Astyanax mexicanus: one gene and its partners. The protein of the gene in region 1 interacts with the protein of each later gene in a pairwise test. Links are inferred from orthologs where the notes say so. Each region holds a gene or a part of one and is shown on either strand. Other genes may lie near its edges.

Region 1 (7,117 bases):
TCGTCTGGGGAACGAGAGGAAATTTTCTCTAAGCTGTGGATTGATAACGCAATTTCATAGTGCAAGGAACAGCAGCAGGAGCTCCTCAGATAATGTGCTGTTCTTATTTCTCTCCAGACAGGAGAGAACGAGAAGAGACTTTTACTCCACAGAGTTGAGCTATAGTTACTCTAGTGTGTTAGCTTGTTATGCTAACTGGCTAGCTGTAGTTAGCAAGCTGAGCCAGTATGCTTCTTTAAAGATTATACACAACGCACTGCAGCATCTCTTGCGGTATGACAGTATGCGAAAATTGCATACCAGTTTTAATTTCTCCTCTGATACACCAGTCGGACAGGTATACTGCACAGCACTAAAGTTCTTTGCCTTAAAGCAACAGTCTGTAGGGTTTGTGGATTTGAGGACTTCTCTGGTGAAAATGTATTATTGCACAGAGCATGTAAAAAAGCATTTTAAATGCAGCACAATGTAAATAACTTAATGTGTGAAATTCTCATCATATGAAAATTATCTATAAAACCCAAACAGAGCAGATACTTAACTGATTATCACTATTTACGTAATACTTCACCCAAATTTCTGCCATATTTAGCTAAAACAGTTATCCCCACCACAGTGGAGAGCATAGCAAATTGTGCTCTCTCAGATTCCTGCTGCTGATGCCGAAGCAGCATTACCAGGGATTCGAACTTGCAATCCTGAGGTCATTAGAGTCAGTGTCAGTCTACTGAGCCACTCAGAGCCCAGGACATATAAATAATATACATAAGGAGGAACTGGGTGTGTTGTGCGGTTTCTGTACCTTTATCTGCAGTTTGTTGAAGCTAAAAAGGGAAGGCACGGCGTTCTCCTTCAGCACTCGGTTGTTGCATTCTCGTTTGAAGCAGTCTTTGGTAAAGTGCTGTGAGCAGATGTTGCTGTATTTGGTGGGCTTGAAGTTGGTCCTCCTCATGGCGGCCACCCATTTCCCACAGATGTCAGGCCTCGCGAGAGGGAACCTGGAATAAGATCCGTAGCATGGTCATATCGGTGGCCATACTTGTAGACCAGATAACCACCAAAATCAAACATAAACATACCACGGTGCATCCCTAGGTCGACAAAGGTTTTCTGATCATACTAGTAATCATGCCAATTATCCTGGTCTACCAGCTTGGGTAGGCTAATTAATGGGCTTGGTCTTACTGGTTAATCATCTTAATTATGCTCGTCAACCAGTTTTGTCATTTGGGTTGAATGGCCATATTGGTGACCTACAGGTGTATCTCAAAAATAGAATATCATTGTTACCAATAACTTTTGTTACATTGTTAGCAATATGTCTTGCATAATATTCTAATTTTCTGATATACTGATTTTTGAGTTTTATTGGATGTAAGCCATAATCATCAACAATAAAAGAAATAAACACTTAAACTAGATCAAACTGCATGCACTGTATTTATTTAATACATGCGTTCCACTTTATGACCTGAATTACTGAGCTTTTCTATGATATTCTAATTTTTTTTAAAATGCACCTGTCACTTGGTCAGGTTGATCAAACTTGTATACCAGCTAAACCACCAAAGTCAAGAATAAACATACCCTGTACAGGTCGACCAGCTTTCTTTTGCTGCTGCTCATGTTGGTCACTCAAATTTGTCATGCCAAGTACGCTGGTCTACCAGCTTGCTAAAGCTTGAACATCAAAATCAAGAGCTTTAACCATGTTGATGGTCATGCTGATGATCCAGTTTGGTCTCGCTGGTTAACCACCTTGCTCATTCTGATAGAATGATCAAATTGGTGACCTAGCTTGGTCAGATTGATCATGTTTGTAGCCCATCCACACCATCAAACTGACACAAAATCATACTGGGCAAGAGCTCAACTGGTCAACCAGCTTTATGTTGGAGGTCATGCTGGTTATTCAGCTGGGTCATTCTGGTAGAATGGTCATATTGGTGACCTAGCCTGGTAGACCAAACCATTAATACTATATACTGGTCGACCAGCTATTTCTTGCTGATCATGATGGTCACCCAACAACAACTGTCATGCTCATGTTCTTCGTATACCAGCATGGATTAATGTGGTCATACTGGTTATCTGGTTTGTGCATATGGATCAAATGCTTGTAGAACTGCTAAACCATCAAACATACTGGTGGCCTGGCTTGGTTAGGCTGACCATCCTTGTAGACCAGCTAAACTATCAAAATCAAACATAAACATAGCATATACTGGTCAACAAGCTTTTTTTTCTTGCTGGTCATGCTGGTCCCCCAAATTAGTTATGCCAACTATGCTGATGCTTTGTCATACTGGTGACCTAGCTTGGTCAGGTTGATCATGTTTGTAGACCAGCCACACCATCAAACTGACACAAAATCATGCTGGTTAAGAGTTGACCATACTGGTTGCCCAGCTTTATGTTGTGGGGTAATTTTGGAAGAATGGTCATATTGGTGAACTAGCTTGGTAGACCAGCTAAACCACTAAAGTCAACCATGAACATACCATATACTGGTCAACCAGCTATTTCTTGGTAACCTAACTTACTCATGCCAATGTTCCTGGTCTACCAGTATGGTTAAGCCTGGTCATACTGGAAATCTGGTTTGTTCAGATTGATCAAATGAATTAAAGACCAGTTAAACCATCAAACCCGAACAAGACAAATACAAAAAGTCCTGTAGTGGCTAAAATATAGACTGGTCACCCAGCTTCACCCTGTGAAGCAGCAGAGCCAGGTTATGCAGACAGGGCTCGCGGCAGTGCAGAGGGATGGATGGAGGATCTTACTTGTGGAATGAGACGTTCTTATCTTTGTGATATCTGTTCTTGCAGCCGTAGGCGGAGCAGGACTGCACCATGGCTGCTGGAGGTCCTGCGCTGTGGATCAGCCCGGCTGCAGGATCAGCTCGGGGTTCAGGATCTCTGCTGTACTTATTCCTCCTCTTTGCTGCTGGAGAACCTCACCAGTAGTACCTCACCAGTTCCTCACCAGCTCCAAGATGGAGGAAAACGCATCCGTCCATGTGATCAGCACGTCGCAACTTTCCCGTGCGCTCCAATCTGCGCGCATGCGCCCTACCTAGGGCCCTAGAAATAGATTTTCCCCTTAAATTTTTATTTCCCTTCATAATAAAGTGTGAAAACTGATGTGACTAATTCAGGATTCAGATGGATTTTTAAGCAATTCCAAACTTAACATTATAGCAACTGGGTCATTTTACTGTTCTACAAGACACTATGCTATTTTTAAGTTATTTCCTGGGGACTGAAATGGCACTGATTTGGTGGAATATGCAAATTATATATATAGGGAACTCCAAAATTCATCAACTTACTAAATCACACAGTGGACTTGAACAATGTAAAAGTAAACAGTTTATTTTAATAATGCATGCACAACTATTTTTAATGCATATTTTTATTTATTTTAAACTTGGTACATCATTCATTCAACAGTATTTTTTTATTTACATATTTCAAGACATTAAACTCTTTAAACAAATTCCTTCCCTCTACCTTACCTGAAACATGGAGCCATTAGTTACAAAAAAGTTAAATAAAATGAAACAAGTTAAACATAAATGATAATAATAATAATAATAATAATAATAATAATAATAATAACAACATTATGTACATTTAGTCTGCAATAATTAAAACACAATTCAAGTTTTCTTTTTTTTTTTTTATAATTTTATTTCAAATTTTTCCCATTTTCTCCCCAATTTACACGGCCAATTACCCAACCCACTCACTAGGACGATCACTAGTAATGCCCCAACACACCAGGAGGGTGAAGACTAACACATGCTTCCTCCGATACATCGAGCTGCTGCTGATGCAGCATCACCGAGCAGCCAGCTCGCTCGGAGGAAAGCACAGCGGCTCGGCTCCGGTACATCAGCTCACAGGCGCCCTGTGCTGCAGACATCACCCTAGGAGTGATGTGGGGAGAGAGCGCCATCTACCCACCCAGAGGGAGCCGGGCCAATTTTGCTCCCTCTAATGCCGGCAGCTTGATGGCAAACAATTCAAGTTTTCTAGTTGTGAATTTCTTACCTAAATATAATTTTATTTATAGAGTTGTCAGGTAACAAATGTAATAAAATAAAAAAAGGTAATACGATCTATCTATCCATCCATCCATCCATCCATCCATCTCATAACAAACCGCTAGATTAAACACTATACATAGTGACTACATAGGGTGTAGGGAACAGGCACGCTACCTGCGTAATGGGACGCAGCCCCACGCGGAAGGATTTCCCTGTTTTGGTGACGTAGATGCGATAAGGAAACAGATCGCTGCTGCGTAGATTCCTCTGAGGAGATCTGAACAGCAGTTAAAGCTTTATTATTCATATTTTACTCTGATAACAGAGATATTAACACCCTGCTTTACTCACTTCATTAAAAACACACATTAAACACACGCAGTGGGCTGTGGCGGATATAAAAACACGTGGTTAAACTGCACGTGCTGCATATGAGCATCCTAACGGAGCTGCTGCATTAACACCTGTGTTCAGATTAAACACGCTGTCTGTCTGTCTGTGTTCATTACTGTCTGTCTGTGTTCATTACTGTCTGTCTGTCTGTGTTCATTTCTGTGTGCTGTCTCTCTGTCTGCTGCCTGTCTGTGTTTATTACTGTCTGTCTGTCTGTCTGTCTCTCTGTTGTCTGACTGTGTTTAATGCTGTTTGCTGTCTGTGTTCAGTACTCTGTCTGTCTGTTGTCTGTCTGTGTTTAATGATGTGCTGTCTGTTTGTGTTCATTACTGTATGCCTGTCTGCTGTCTGTGTTCATTGATGTGTGCTGTCTGTCTGTCTGTGTTCATTACTGTCTGTCTGTTGTCTGACTGTGTTTAATGCTGTGTGCTGTCTATCTGTGTTCATTACTGCTGTTTGTCTGTGTTCATTATTGTGTGCTGTCTGTCTGTCTGTCTGTGTTTATTACTGTCTGCCTGTCTGTGTTCATTGCTGTGTGCTGTCTGTCTGTGTTCATTGCTGTGTGCTGTCTCTCTGTATGTCTGCTGTCTTTCTGTGTGTGTATATGTCTGTCTGTCTGTGCTTATTGCTGTGTGCTGTCTGTCTGCTGTCTGTGTGTATGTCTGTCTATCTGCATGTTTGTCGTTTTGTCTGTCTGTCTGTTCATTGCTGTGTGATGCCTGTCTGTCTGCCTGCATGTCTGTCTGTCTGTGTTCAATGCTGTGTGATTTCTGTCTGTCTATTTGTCTGCTGTATGTCTGTCTGTCTGTGTTCATTGCTGTCTGTTTGTCTGTGTGCATTACTCTCTGTCTGTGTGTATTGCTGTCTGTCTGTCTGTGTGCATTACTGCATGTTTGTCTGTATGTATTTATGTCTGTCTGTGTGCATTGCTGTATGTCTGTCTGTATGTATGTATGTCTGTCTGTGTGCATTGCTGTCTGTCTGTCTGTGTGCATTACTGCCTGTCTGTCTGTATGTATTTATGTCTGTCTGTGTGCATTACTGTCTGTTTGTCTGTGTGCATTATTGTCTGTCTGTGTGCATTACTGTCTGCCTGTCTGTGTTCATTTCTGTCTGTCTGTGTGCATTGCTGTCTGTCTGTGTCCATTGCTGTCTGTCTGTGTGCATTACTGTCTCTCTGCTTGTTGTTTTGTTTGTCTGTCTGTGTGCTTTCTGTCTGTCTGTCTGCTGTATGTGTGTGTGTCTGGCTGGGTGTGTGATTGTGGTGTAAACAGGAAATTTAGATGCAGGTTGAAGCAGGAAACCCAGAGTAGTAGTGGTGCTAACACAGTGAGAGAGAGTCTGAGCTGCACAGTGTGTTTACTCCCCCAGCACAGCTGTGAGGATCCACCATGCTGCTGCTGCTGCTGATCATCTCCCTGCTGCTGCTGCTGCCGCTGGTGGGATTTCAGCCTCAGCATCAGTCTGGAGTCATGCTGAACTTATCTGCAGGGCAGGTAGGCTGTGCTGATGCACTAATTAGACAAAAAGCTTATATACACAGAGTGTTTTACATACAGATAAATGCTTTATTATGTGTTTAATGCTGTGTGTGTAGTTGTGTGGTATATAGACTGCATAATATGTAGTGTTTATGTTTAAAACATATATTTTTTATCATGTATGTAAGTGTTTTACTAGGATATCAGTATCAAAATCTGCTTGACAGCTACATTTCTCACTTTGTAAGTGAGTGAGGACTCCAAAAAGTCAGCCAATCAATTAATCAATTAATCAATTAATCAATCAACTATTAATCAGAGTACAGTGAAGGTGACCCTAATGACCTTTCAATAAAGTTGAGAATTTATAATAGACAGAGATTGAAAAAGAAAGACAAAAGAAAAAAAAATACAATAATACAATTCATAAAATTATTTTTTTAATTAAAAAATATGTCAATTTATGCAAAAAGAACAGTGCAAAAGAAGCATGTTAAAAAATCAAAAGAAAAAATAGAAAAATTAAATAAATGTAGCTTATGTAAGATAATAAAATTAAGATTTAATTAATAATAGATTAACAAATCAGATACAAAAGTAAAAATTAAATAAAAATAAAATAAATAGGTTTAAGAATGATCTTAATATGAAAAAAGCATAAATAGTAAAATCAGTCAGGAAAGCTAAAATAAAGTAAATACATCCAAAAATAATACAAAAAACACATACAACTCAAAATTAAAGGTTAAAACTAATACAAATTAATTAACTAGTTAAATAATACATAAATGTGTTAAACAAGTAAAATAAGTAAATACAATATTCTTAAAAGGCATAAAGCAAAAGCGCTAAAAAATAAAGAGACATTCAAATAAATTAAAACCGTTCCAATAACAGATTGCTTTTCCTAATTAGAGACAGTTGAATATCCGGCCATAAGGTGGCAGTATAACACAAGATCTGTACGTAAAATTGACTAATACTGCGTAGGTCCCCCTCGTGCCCCAGAACAGCTCTGACCAGAGGTTCCTTACTTAAGTAGACATGTTGGTTATCTATGCTTTACTAGAGTAATTAATTTTCAGATAAAGTTTTACTTCTACTTTTTACATTTACACACAATTATCTGAACTTTCTACTCGTTACATTTTAATAAAAATAGCCTCGTTACTCCTTTTTCATTTGAGCT
Region 2 (7,332 bases), on another chromosome or scaffold:
TTACTTTTTAACCAGTTTGTTCAGCATCTAACCCTCTGTTTTCATTTGTTTCTCCTCAGATGTTGCAGATAACTATAAAGAAGGTTATAAAGCTTGCCTTCAGCGCGTCTCAGCGCTACTCCCGCGCACCGGCCTAGACCATGAGGCAGGTCGCCGAGTGACCGAGTTCATGCAGCGGGCGATGCCCTCCTCCAGCCCGGCGTGCCAGCACTGCAGCGGCCACGGCGCTCCTGCTACCCCCCAAACCCCGCAGCAGCGCCTCCGCAGCCTCCAGGCTACCGTCTCCAGAAGTGAAAGCCGGGCAAGCGTTGTCGTCCCGGTCTCTGGAGCCCCCGTGTGGAGGCCTTGGTAGCTGCACCAAAGCCGGGACACCTTTCTCCAAACTAAAACTGTACATAATGACTCAAAAAAAAAGAAAGATGATGCGGTTGGTGTGTACCAGCCTGCTTTTATACGTTTTAATACGTTTTATAAGTTGACTCAGGATCCTGTCAGGATCAGCCGAGTCACGATCACCTGAGTATTGTATACTTGTGCTACTTTGCTTAGCCGGTCTCGTCGGGTTCGTCCGAAACGGTCGCTTTTCTTCTCGATTCCTTCTTGCGCGTCGCCTGTAAATAACGCGGTTCTGTTTAGTCCTCTTCGAGGGGGGGTTAAATGGGTGGGGGTTGTGGAGAACGCCTATGTAAAACCCCACGGGTTGTTCAATGTAAGGCATTTGCACGTTTGGCTTCAGTATTCTGAGTTTGTGCAGATTAGTCGTATGTAAGCACAATGTGTTTAATTGTAAAGTCTCTGTTTAAGGGATGTGCTGATTATATCGTTGTATATGTATGTTACACTCAGTACTTTTGAATAAAAGGAATGGGCTACCCAATTATTGTGTCCTGTTTTATTAGTTGAAATGTGTGGGCAAATGATGATTTAAAAAAAAAAATGCAATTGTGAGTGAAAATCTTTGGATGTATATTTTTTTGGGTTTATAAATCCTTAGATACATTTTAGTTAGAATTTACAATCGATAGGTAACTTGCATTATCTACTCAATATAATGCACAATAAATAACAATCCTTTGTTTGCTATAAGGCCAGGTCTGAAGGGGGGATTTAAAAAAAAAAATACATGCACAGCCGAGTGTCTCCTGACAAACTACATTATTTGCTAAGGGACTAATGGTTGATAATTAGTATTTCTGTGGATATTTCGAATGAACAGTTTTTTTTCTGATTTGGGATCAGTTTGTCATTCCCATTGCTCTAATAAATGACATATACTACATTGACTATATAGACCTGATCTCAGATCAGTTTAACTGTCCGTGTGTTTGAAACGCAAAAAATGCCTTATTAAACACTATATGCCCTCAAAAAGAAGGCAGTGTAGTTATGAAGATCTCTGTATACGAATTAAAATGGAAGAATTAACTGTTAGACATAAGAATTGGTGTTGTCATTAGCTGTTAGCATTTTGCCCAATAAAAACGTAATGTTAGATTACTAACCTTTAGATTCAGACATGACTTGGGGCTTTACAGTCTCAAAACAAGAATTCTGTCTTTGCGATTTTACGTTTAAGAGACAGTGCTTACTCACGGAGCCCCTAAGGTTTAATAATTTAATAATTTAAGTCGTGGCCTCGCTTTATTTATTTATTTATTTTACAATGTGTCACCTTAGGGGCTCCATACTAACTAGTATGATAAATGTTCAAATTGTTCAACTTCCAGAGCGAAAAAAAAACGTGGTCTGTGCTGTCACCATGTGGTCACATGGGGTAATGCATGTGTTTGAGAGACATAAGAGCCTTCCTTGTTCTAACCCCATGTAAAACATAGAGCTTAGCTAAGCCTATAGATCAGTCCAGGTTCAGAAAGTACAAATCCATCCCGGGGTTTTGTTCCAACTGCCTATAGGCGCCCAGGCAGTTGGAACAAAACCCTGGGATGGAGTTATACTTTATGGACCTAGACTAGCCTATCCATCGCTCTCTACTCGCAACCTAGCCTGTACTCTGTACTCTCTGTTTAAAATGCGAGAACAGGAGACTTTTAAACATCTAAAATATTAAACAGCGCTGTAACTCTGTAACTCAGCCCGCCTTGTTTTCTGCAGCCTTTATTTCGCGGTATTTTTTGTAAGATAAAGAACAGAGCGGGAAGCACAGGGAAGACAGGAAGACGTTCTAAAAACGCAGTTTGAATTATTTCGAATTAAGAAACGGGTTTAAGCATCACGAGCTTAAAAAAAACAAAACAAAATCAAACAAACAGCAGCACTTGGGTGTCCAATGGTACTGACGCCTCTCGAGCTCTAGTGTGTGTGAGAGTGTGTGTGTTGTAAATCGATTCGCCCTTATTAAACCCCCCCTTTGGTCCAAGCCGGAGCTCGCTAGCTGGTCTGCAGAAGCAGCTCTCTCTCTATCTGTCTCTCTGCCTGTCTCTGTCTCTCTCTCTCTCTCTCTCTCCATCACCCTTTATTACTGCTAGTTATAGTTAGTTTAGTAGACTAGGGGTCGACCCGAGCTGCACATGATGTCTGCCGCCGGTTCTCCAGCCGCCTCGCCGTCCATTCAGATCTGCAGGTAAGATTATGAAGCCCCGGCTCGCGCGGACATTGTGGCGGGGCTGTAGACTGTTTAATAGCTCAGCACAGACAGATAGCTAAATTAACTAACCCTCTAAACACACCACTCACTGCTTCACACAGCCCAGCTACCAATCTACTTATCCAGCTACCTATCAGTATTTCAGTATGTGTAATGAACACAGCCGTGTATAGGATCAGTGAAGGAGGAGGAGGAAGAACAGCGTGTTTAAGCCGGTTTGCCGGTGCTTTTCCACACCATGCTTTACCATTCAGCAGCAGCAGCATGTAGTATTTGTCGTATGTGATGACCTCAACGAGTGATGCTGCTGGAGCTGAGGCATGATGGAGGCACAGCCAGCAAGGTTAGCTATTCAGCCACAGCATCAGCATACTAGTTAGCTAGCTAGCTAGGTGAGAAACACATATAAAACGATACGACTGTGCATTTTTAGGACTGTCACGATGATGTTTGTTATGTTTGGACGGTGTAAGCTACGTTATTATCCCCAAAACAATGTTTATTTTAAGACTGAGTGACACGTTTTTATATCTCCAAGGATGTTTTATATATTATATCATCTAATAGTAATGTATAAAAGCAATGCAAACAATAACACAGGTATACAGGTGAGTACATTCATCATATGTATACAATTTATACAAACTAAATAAAGGTATAACATAGACAACATACAGCTCTGGAATTCATATTCACAAAGTTCACAGAGTTCAGAAATCAATATTTGGTGGAATAACCCTTGTTTTTAATCACAGTTTTCGTGCATCTTGGCATGTTCTCCTCCACCAGGCTTACACACTTCTTTTGGATAATTTTATGCCTGATGCGAAAATTCAAGCAGTTTAGCTTGGTTTAAAGGCTTGTGATCATCCATCTTCCTCTTGATTATATTCCAGAGCTTTTAGATTGGGTAAAATCAAAGAAACTCATCGTTTTTAAGTGATCTCTTATTTTTTTCCAGAGCTGTATACAAACTAAAAGTATCTACCATAGACACAACATACAAAGGAAAAAAATATTATATCGTTAATGTGTACAAGGTAAATTTGTACAGTCTATATCAGTATTTACATGTAGACATGTATCACCACTTATTAAGACCTACTATTTATTTACTGTTAACCTATGTGCAATATCACTTGTTATTTCTTACCATAATTCCTCTAATCCTCTAGTTTTCTAGACCTCTTATTTTTCGTTTAATAAATGTATATTCTCGCTTGCATGTTTTGTATATAGCAGTGTTGTATATTGTTTGTATATTTCCTGACACTTATGTTATATCCTCTAATCTTGTTTTGTTTATAAACAAATTAACGTAGCTGTATATAAGTTTGAAACTCTTAAATTCAGTGATTCTGCATTGTAGATTAATACTAAAGAGATTTAAACTATGAAGAAAAACACGTTATTATTTAGTAAACAAAAAAGTGTTAAAAACAACACAATATGTTTTATATTTTAGATTGTAGGGGAAAAATAAACAAATAAAAACATTAAGTGAGAAACTGTCCCTGTCTGCTCCTCGATACGATTGACTAGACATTTCCCTCCAGCCAATGGCAGCGAGCAGAGGCGATTTGAGGCGGGAGTTTCAGGAATACGGATAGGTAAAAAACCTGAGCGTCGCTGTGAGGTCGCCCTCTAGTGGCGGACTGATGATAAAGCATTTAAACACTCGCTCTGTTGTGCGTCAGAGCGCCTGACGTCATCAAGCAGACCACGTGGTTATTTTCTTAGAAATGCTGCGGGGTCCTGTAGGGAAAATGCTGTCCCGGCTGGCGATAATCACATCTAGGTACGTATTTAATAAAATAGACCCGTTTTTAAAGATGCGCCACGATGCCCAAGTACTTTCCCCTAGTCTGGACTAAACCTGACTTCTGTTTTAAACTGAAGGAGTATGTCCTTTATTGTCATACAGAACAAGAGTCATGAGTACATGTGTAACACAGTGCAGTGGAATGCAGCCTTATTTACACACTGTGTGGACAAAAGTATTGGGACTCATTCTATTCCATTGTTTATTTGAGGGAGTTTTAGGAGTGTATCATGCTTTTGTTAAATTAAATGTCTCTATTATCCAGGAAAGAGCATTGCTGTGAGGATTTTGCATTCAGCAACAAAAGCATATTCGCATATTTGGTGTGGTCAGGAACTTGAATAATCTCCCCTTTGTAGCTCATGGTAAAAGTTGCAGAGCTGTACTTTAATATTTAGTGCACACTACATAACAACAGAACATTCCAGAAATAACTGGAGACTGCCATCAGACAATTTTTTTTAAAGACTGCAATGTTCAGATTGTATAACTATTATCACACTGCTTCTATCAACAGTTAAGATTAGCATCATTGTTCATAGCTATTGCACAACATTACAATGGAATGTAGTATTTTCTTTACTTAAACTTTACAGTGGTATAAAAATATGATCATTTTCATGATTTTCCTTTTTATAAATAATTGGTTGTTCGATTCAGCAATGTCAGTTAAATATATAAAATAGCAGATGAACACAGTGATATTTGAGAAGTGAAATGAAGTTTATAGTATTTACAGAAAGTGTGCATTAATTCTTTAAACAGAATAAGGCAGGTGCATAGATGTGATCTCCCTTGTCATTTGAATGATTTGAATACCTTTAGCAATAAACATTGGAACACAACATTTGTTTGGTAAGTTCATTGACCTTTGACCTACATACTCCAATAATGAATGAATCCAATTATGAGAAAGGGTAAATGTGGCCAATTGCAAGTTTCTCTCCTCTTTGCATCTTCTCTAAAGACCAAAGACCTACATCATCATCTTACTGCAGATGGAGTCACTGTGCATCGTTCAACTATTCAGCTCACTTTACACAAGGAGAGGCTGTATGGGAGAGAAATGCAGAAGAAGCCTTTTCTGAGCACACGCCACAAACAGAGTCGCTTAAGGTATGCTAAAGCTAAAGCACATGTAGATAAGCCAGCTTCATTTTGGAATAATGTGCTGTGGACTGATGAATCCAAAATTAAGTTATTTGGAGGGCGGCATGCCTGGTGGAAAAGAAACACAGGATTTCAAGACAGACACTTTACTGCTCTCCACAGTAAAAAAATTGGTGGTGGTTCATCATGCTGTGGGGCTGTGTGGTCAGTGCAGGAATTGGGAATCTTGTTAAAGTTGAGGGTTGCATGGATTTTTCAGTCAATATCAGCAGATTCTTGAGAACAATGTTTAAAGTTGCGCCGGGGCTGGATACTTCAACAAGACTACGACTGTAAACATAAACACTGCTCAAAATTTTCTAAAGCATTCATACAGAGGAACAAGTACAACGTTCTGAAATGATCATCTCAGTCCCCAGACCTGAATATTATTGAAAATCTGTGGTGTTATATAAAGTGTGCTATTCATGCTCGGAAACCATCAAACCTGACTGATCTGGAGATGTTTTGTAAAGAAGAATGGACAAAATACCTTCAACCAGAAGCCAGACTCTGTTTGGAAGCTTTAGGAAGTGTTTAAAGGCTGTTATTTTCTGCAAAAGGAGGATCTACTAAATATTAATCTAATTTTTCTGTTGGGGTGCCCAAAATTTATGCACCTGCCTCATTTTGTTTAACATATTATTGCACACTTTATGTAAATCCTATAAACTTAATTTTACTTTTCAAATATCACTGTGTTCATCTGCTATATGATATATTTAACTGAAATTGCTAATCATTGTGGGATGGAAAATAGTGTCTAATGAAACCACATTTAAACACCGACTTGTTCTTAGCATCATAGAGGATCAAAAGTATCTGAGGAGCATTGACATTAGGATACAGGCCCATTCATTTCTTTTGACTTCACTGAGTATATAGGACACGCTGTAATTCTAATTAATTGTAAGTCTGTAGTCCTTCTGTTTCTCTGCTTACTTTATTATCCTCTTTTCAACATGATCTACAATGATCAGAGAAGCTTTTATTTGTGTGGTGGGTCATTCTCAGCATTGCATTGACACTGATGCGGTGGTGTGTTATTGTGTAGCGCTTGTACAAGCAAGCGGATGTGACCACATTGTAGATAAAAACACTGCAGGTAACCACTACAATGTGCTGGTCCATGGAGACACAATATCCATTAAGCCAGACAAAAAGAAGATTGCAGAAGTAACTGGAGACTGCCATCAGGAAAGGCTGCAATGTTCAGAATGAAACCATTATCACACTGCTTTTGTCAAAAGTTAAGATCAGGACATTTTTCATAGCTATCGCACAACATTACAATGGAATGTAGTCTTTTCTTCACATAAACATCATGTGGCAGTGATCACACACACTAACAAACAGTGGCAGCAGCACACACACACAAACAAGACTGTGGGCAGAATTAGGTGCCTTCTTACCTACACCCTGCCTGTCCAGGCCCAGGGTATTTTTTTTATAGACTCTTTTTTTTATAGACTCTGCATTAAAACGACCTAAAGGCCTAACAGACAGGTGCATACATTTTATAAATTTGAATACTTTTAGCACTAATTATTGGAACACAAAATTAGTTTGGTAAGCTCATTGACCCTTGACCTACATTCACAAGTTAATCCATCTATGAGAGGGTTAAAGTGGCCAATTGCAAGTTTTTCTCCTCCTTGCATCTTATCTGAAGAGTAGCAACATGGGGGCCTCAAAACAAAGATTAAAGAACCAGAAATAATTCCAAGTGTATTGCATTTGGTTGGAAAACCATCTA
Region 3 (7,295 bases), on another chromosome or scaffold:
GTCGTTGAAAATGTTGGGGAAAAACGAATGACAAATAAAATCACTATATGCATGCACATTGTATTTTTCTAAAAGATGCAAAGCCATTTTTATCTTTTAAAGAAGACCCAAACCTGAAATTGATCAAATTATTATTATAATGCAATTAATTAAACTTATTAAAATGGATCAATGATGGATCAAAAAGAATTGGAATAAAATGGTTTACATTAACTAATATTCACATTAATAAATCAATAAACCAGGGGACTCTACTTTGTTACTGGCACTCACTCCTGTTACTGGCACTCAGTCCTGTTACTTTTTATGTTATGAGTAACAGGACTGAAAGTAACAGGACTAAGTTTTTAGTATAGAATTAGTAAAAAAAAAAAAAAAAAACTAAATGGCAGCTATGCTAATAGCTTGAGGACACTAAGCAGATTCTAGTGATTTTCCCAAAATCTGTGTTTTAAAAATAAACAAATAAGATCTAAGAATTAATTCAGATAACAGGACAGAGCGTTGAGATTGACCCCTCAGTCATAGTTACAGAAAGATTAAATATACAGATACCCACCAATGCTTAAAATACAGCTCTGGAGAAAAATAAGAAACCGCTTACAAATGATGAGTTTCCCAAGTTGAAAACCTCTGGAATATATTCATGAGGAAGATGGATGATCATTATGGGAGGTAAATCCTGCCAAAAATAAAACTGAAATGAAAACACTAAAATGAAAATGCAAATGCCGTTTTGCTCTTTCTTTTCCCAAACATGTGTGAAAATATTATGACAAAATTAAAAACGGAATTAAATCACTTCATTTGCAATTTAATTTTTCACTTGAGCATGGGTCATACGTGACAAAATTAAAATTAAAATTAAAAAGGATTTTTGCCATTTCATTTTCATTGCCATTCGGCTATTTCATTGTCAAATCTAAAATGAAAAAGCTAATTATAAAAAGAAAAATCAAAGCTTCATTTTGGGCTTGCTTTTTCTCGATGAACTGCATAATAAATGACAAAACTAAAATCGAAATGCAATGGTAACGTTTTTATTTATTTTCCTTTGCAATAGGCTGCATGTCTGACAGAATTAAAATGAAAATGCAAAATGGAAAAATAAATAGCAAAGTGAGAGTTTGTGATTCAGTTTTTGGTGTGGACTGCGCTTTAAGTGTCAAAAATTTAAGGAAAACGCAAAGGAAGACTGGCGCTCCCTGCTGGTGATTTAGTTTTTTTTATACATTTCTTTTTCTTTTTCAACTTCACCAGCATGCAAATATATGTAAATTAGCAGTAGGCGGGGCTACAACTACGGATCCACCCGCGGAATCCAGACCAGCATAAAGCGCAGTCCACACCAAAAACTGAATCACAAACTCTCACTTTGCTATTTATTTTTCCATTTTGCGTTTTCATTTTAATTCTGTCAGACATGCAGCCTATTGCAAAGGAAAATAAATAAAAACGTTACCATTGCATTTCGATTTTAGTTTTCTTATTTATTATGCAGTTCATTGAGAAAAAGCAAGCCCAAAGTGAAGCTTTGATTTTTCTTTTTATAATTAGCTTTTTCATTTTAGATTTGACAATGAAATAGCCGAATGGCAATAAAAATGAAATGGCAAAAATCCTTTTTAATTTTAATTTTGTCACGTATGACCCATGCTCAAGTGAAAAATTAAATTGCAAATGAAGTGATTTAATTCCGTTTTTAATTTTGTCATAATATTTTCACACATGTTTGGGAAAAGAAAGAGCAAAACGGTATTTGCATTTTCATTTTAGTGTTTTCATTTCAGTTTTATTTTTGGCAGGATTTACCTCCCATATGATCACAAGCCATCAAGCCAAGCTGAACTGCTTGAATTTTTGCACCAGGAGTGCCATAAGGTTATCCAAAAGCAGTGTGTAAGACTAGTGGAGGAGAACATGCCAAGATGCATGAAAACTGTTATTAAACCCCAGGGTTATTCCGCCAAATATTGATTTCTGAACTCTTAAAACTTCATAAATATAAACTTGTTTACTTTGCATTATTTAAGGTCTAAAAGTTCTGCATCTTTTCTGTTTTTTTCAGCTATTTCTCATTTTCTGCAAATACATGCTCTAAATGACAACATTTTTATTAAACGCAGTGGCGTGCAGTTAATATAGTGGGTACCCCTACTGCAACACTTTAAAAAGGCTTTTTAATATGATATGACACAATATTTGTCTCATTTACCGTTGCATTTCCATTATAATTAGCTAACTATTAAACTAATCCAGCATGTGCTCTGTTTTACACTATACCAATGCGTAGCACCTTCTGCACAGCACCGAGAAGGGGTTAGACAGTCATGGCCCCGCCCCTGGAACGAAAATCATGAATCTGATTGGTTAGATTGTCCTGCGACTTTGCTAATAGACTCATTACTACTCCCATCTCAAAATCAGGAGAAGGGTCCCTGCAGACACGCGGGGGCAGAAGCAATTTTAAAAAGCTTTGATTGGTTAGAACAGCTGTCAGTCAGATAAGAGTCCTATAGCAACTGAAAAACGCAGACTAATTATTTGAATTAGTAGCTGTTTTTTTATTTTAGTTAATTTATAAAACATATGCTTATAGTTTACAATAACAATAATATATATTTCCTGATTAAATCTTATGTAATGATTTACATGCACCTATTGTCACCTCTTCTCTGAAGGGTTAGAAGGGCCTTACTGCAAACCACTGGAGAAACGTTGTCTTTAGTTTATAGAACAAAACAACAATGTTCATTTTACTCAAACATAAACCTATAAATAGCAAAATCAGAGAAACTGATTCAGAAACTGAAGTGGTCTCTTATTTTTTCCAGAGCTGTATAGTGTAACACACAGGCTATGCTTACATTTTCTGTCCTTCACGTCGCTTATCCTGGTTAATGTAATTTAAATTATTTTCATATTTAGATATGTCGCCCACAAAATAATTTAAACTACATTTAGGTTGGTTTAGAGCGACTGTCTCATGTTATTAATGGCGGCGACTGTTGCTATGGAGTTTTGCCTGTTCGGCTTGTGTAATTTGTTTTTTCTTCACTGCTCGAAAAATATAGTTCCAGCTAGTTAATTAGTTAAGCGAAATAATTAAAACAATAATCTTGTTGTTTTAAAGGCAGTCTCTGTGTTATGAAAATACCAACTTATTTTGAAACAATATGTTCGATCAGAGAGCAGTAGCTAAATTTCTTAATGCGGAACTAAAGGCCTGTGTTCAGCCGGACGCTTGTGGGCGGGGGACACACGGCGTGTTAGACAGGTTACATGACCAGGGACGGTTTCAATGTGAGACAGAGAGAGACAGAGAGAGCTGAACAGCATGGCTTCAGCGGTCTGGAGGACTTTTACTAAGATTACAGGCTTTTCTACGCGTCCTGGCAGCTCCGCACTGCAGTGTATCAGGTGAGGATTACAGCAGTCCCGAATCCTGTAGTTTAATCTATAAGTTTGGGTACTTCTCTGTTTCAGGGCTAAAAAGTGATTCTGGTTCTCTCAGTAACTGAAGGTCTTTCAGCTGATTAGTCTAATATTTACTTTCCTGATTATGTTAAATCACAAATATACATCTCTCTTATAGACTGTGCTTCATTATTTAGCCTTATACCTAGTTAAAACCTGAAAAATATAGAAATAACTCTCTTTTATGGACATTGATCACCCACACACAACTCATGTTATGTGACTAGACGTTTTAGGGTTTTTTTTTCTCCAAAGGGTCATAGTAAGAAACGTTAGCTAAAGCAGGCATTCTTAAAAAAAAAAAAAAAAAAAAAAGTTTGAATGTAAATATTGTAAAAGTCTAGCATGAATGCTGAATTTTCATAGACCTGTCTTAACCCTTCTTTTATCTTTGGGGTAAATTTGACCACATCCAATGTTTAACCCAGAAGAGCCCAAGGGGATGTACATGTATATGTCACATACCATTTTAAAAGCTGTGTAAAGTTCCCTACCGAACATATGTTCTTCATTTGAACTTATGCAGTTCCTAAATGACACATACTAAACATCCTGAGAGCATCACAGGACTGTGTGTGAATCTGTGATAATTCATCTGACCTTATTTTCAGAATGTAGGTGTGCTGGAGATAAAATGTAAATAAGCTGTTCACTAAATTTATTTGGCATTAATATTTAGGAATGTGTCTGGTATCTTCTGTGTTAATGTAAAATATTGACATTTTTTGTGATTTATTTAACACAACCATACTAGTAATACCAGAACCACTGACTCAACATACAAACATCAAATGCACAATAAACTTTACTAAATTCACACCCATCTTTAATCTTCTGAAGGTTTAAACTGCTGGAGTTGAACTTTAGTCAATTTAAGAAGAACATGAGGTTAAAGGCTTGACTTAACCCATAAGAGCCCAGAACCATGTAATATTAATGCCAATATATAATATAATATATATAATATAATATTGATGCCAAGTTTAAAATTAAATCAGATAAATTCAGCGAGCAGCTCATTCATGTTTTTGTCTTATTGTAGGAACATGACTGTAAATATTTTAAGGTTAAAAGCATGATTTAACAAATGGCACCAAAAAAGTTAAGGTCAGAATTAAGTGTTATGGATTGTAAAAGGTTTAATCAAAGTATTTGAATTGTTAAAATGGTTGGAACAGATCAGAAAAAGCAAAAAAAATACACTTTTAAAAGGAGCTTGAGGTGTTTCAATAATCCAGCACTCCTACATTCTGTAAATAAGGTGAGATGAATAAACACACTGCCTTGTGATACTCTCAGGGTTGTGTGTAGTATGTGTCACTAAGATGTTTGAGTTAAAGTGAAGGACAGAGTACTGTAATGATCTTCATGCATCTTATAAAGGGTCTGTATACGGGGATTTAGTCAACTTGAGAACAGGAGGTTAAATGCAGTTAAAAACCACTACTATAACAGCGTGTTTTGACTTGACTTAACTGAAATACGGGTTAGATTCATGAAGCACAACAAACCAAAACTAAAGGTGAATTACAAGTGTGGAAAAGAAAAGATCTTTTGCATGTATAGTTCTATTCTCCCCCTTTTAATGACCCAAAATGTAATCCCTTTTTTTCTCATAGGCCATGCACAGTGCGAGCACTGTCAGTCACTTCACACTGCTCTGCAAAATCCAAAGGATCTTCAGGTAGCAATGAGAACAATGAGGTTAATTCCGAGCCTATCAAGTTCTCCACAAGTAAAGGCAGTCACCGGACTTGGAGGGTGGAAAGATCAATGGGCAGCACACACCAGCGGCCTTGGTGGAAGGTCCTGCCATTCAGTATAATGTGTGTCAGCTTCGTGCTCTGGTGCTTTTTACGCAAAGAGTCGGACGTTGACAAAACACTGGAGAAGCAACTGTACGAACATTTACCTGGGTTACTGACAACTATGGGTATAGAGGAGGAGGATGACGAAGAGGAAAAGACACAAACAGAGGCAAAAAAGAAAGAACCCTGACAGTGGACTAAAATGAACAGTCTTAACCTCTGATATAAATGTAATTACTGTACTGCTTGGATAATGAGACTGTATGGATGGCTCTGTTGCAGCAGGCTGAGGACTGAAATACAGCTCTACATGTTGTAATGCTGGTTTTGTCTGCCGGGGAGGGGGGGTACATATCTGTTACGATGTAAAATAATGGTTGTGTAGTCTGCATTAAATGTGGTCTTAAATCTTTTGCTATACTTCTTTTGAGGGCACTGAAAGTGAATGTGTGTCAATGGTTGACGGAACTAGTTTTTACTGTTATTGTTTTTGGCCTGCATATTAGGGAAAAATGTTTGGTCTGCACACTGTTCAGCATCACCTCAATGTGTCCTTTTGCAAACCATAGGGCCTGCAGGTGCCACACTCTCGTTGCTTGATATGCTATTGCCGCATGATTTTTGAATATTGCAAACTGCAACAGTTAATGGCATTTTTCCACTAGCAGGAAGCCACATATTGCAATTTAATGCAAAAATGACATGACTAACCATGTAGGCTGTGAAGGAAAAATCTGTTCCCTTTCTGTTAAGTTTTTCCATTATATGATTATTAATGTTTGTGTGTTAATCAAATTAGTGACTTAGCAGTGATTATACAGTGCATGTAAATATTAAATCAAACTTTTCTACTGCAACAGTAACTGAGGTGTGAGTTTGGATTGGCCAAACATTTTTAGTTATTGGCCATACATAATTTGTTGGTATTTTGCAACATTGGATACATCAAGTTGTGTGGGGAGGCCTATGATCATTGCAGCAATGTGTTTGATGCATGACAGTTTGTTGTAGTTCGACCCAGCTCAATAATGCTTCTGTAGAGGAGCAGGAGCAGCGTAGGTTCAACATGAAGTGCTCATAGCTTCCAGACTAAAGAAAGTCTTTGCTGGCATTGCTTGTAAAGGTCCATGACATGATCAAAACTGATTTTGTTGTCCAAACTTAGGCCAAGGTACTTAAAATAGTCCACCACCTCTACACTTTCATATCCAATTATGACTTGGCTTGGACCAGAGCAATGGGAGTTTGCTGAGCCAATGATCATCTCCTTAGTTGGCAGCCCAACAGCATTTTTATTCAGAATATAGCTTTCCACATTGCATATAGAGCACCTGCATTTTTAAATTCCAACTGGCTTCTTTAAATAAGTTGTAGCACAGCACAAATATTTTGAAAATAATCAGACAGCTTTACAATTTCACATTTCATAAATTCATTTTTTTTTTATTTAAACATACAAGTAAATCCCAACCGGTTCATATAGAAACACTAGCCATTCTGATTTTTTTTTATGCACCTCTAGTGGCAAATTTAGGTTGCATTGAATCTGTTGGCTCTTTTAGCTTAAGCCCTGTTAGCACAACGAGCACACAAATTTAATTAGTAACTGACCCCTTTTTCCACTGATTTCATAACATTTTGGGCCAATGTTGTGCATGGTTATTAAAATCAGCTGAACTTAATGTTAAGTATATGTACTTTATGTTTGCAGCAGTTCTCTTCACTCTCCACATTAACCACACAGAATCCAGCACATGAGGTAGTGGAAAGTTTATTTACAACCAAATGGCCACAATGGAGGAGAAAAATAGAATGATAGAAATAAAATGGACATGTCCTAATATCACCATGTAGCATGCAGACTATAGCGCACAGGCAGAGGTATACCAAAGTCTAAAATACAAACTTTAAAACCCTGAGAGGAGCTCCCGGAATGTTCAGACACCACCCCCTACTGTCACGCTGAAGAACCACAAGATTCCCCTCCCCTGCCACAACTACCAAAAAAAA

What was found. The genes of interacting proteins can lie anywhere in the genome.
Region 2: the proteins of thap1 (region 1) and acot7 interact in binary tests that used the Homo sapiens proteins (3 or more experiments, as listed by UniProt). The two-hybrid records come from large-scale screens. The link is inferred for Astyanax mexicanus from reciprocal best matches to the Homo sapiens genes THAP1 and ACOT7.
Region 3: the proteins of thap1 (region 1) and uncharacterized protein C7orf50 homolog interact in binary tests that used the Homo sapiens proteins (3 or more experiments, as listed by UniProt). The two-hybrid records come from large-scale screens. The link is inferred for Astyanax mexicanus from reciprocal best matches to the Homo sapiens genes THAP1 and CHLSN.

The regions. Positions count from the first base shown.
Region 1 is NC_064408.1:9,974,659-9,981,775, reverse strand, and holds the start of thap1 (THAP domain-containing protein 1), read right to left. Parts: upstream 3,006-7,117; 5' UTR 2,858-3,005; coding exon 2,787-2,857; intron 999-2,786; coding exon 803-998; intron 1-802. UniProt on the Homo sapiens protein: DNA-binding transcription regulator that regulates endothelial cell proliferation and G1/S cell-cycle progression.
Region 2 is NC_064419.1:18,183,711-18,191,042, forward strand, and holds the start of acot7 (cytosolic acyl coenzyme A thioester hydrolase), read left to right. Parts: upstream 1-4,315; 5' UTR 4,316-4,347; coding exon 4,348-4,403; intron 4,404-7,332. Other genes in the region: hes2.2 (transcription factor HES-2.2), read left to right, coding at 60-352. UniProt on the Homo sapiens protein: Catalyzes the hydrolysis of acyl-CoAs into free fatty acids and coenzyme A (CoASH), regulating their respective intracellular levels.
Region 3 is NC_064413.1:15,018,971-15,026,265, reverse strand, and holds the start of uncharacterized protein C7orf50 homolog, read right to left. Parts: upstream 3,018-7,295; 5' UTR 2,868-3,017; intron 1-2,867. Other genes in the region: c6h16orf91 (protein CCSMST1), read left to right, coding at 3,338-3,420, 5,097-5,475. UniProt on the Homo sapiens protein: Hormone secreted from the intestine in response to cholesterol, where it acts to inhibit cholesterol synthesis in the liver and VLDL secretion,leading to a reduction in circulating cholesterol levels. Acts through binding to its receptor, GPR146.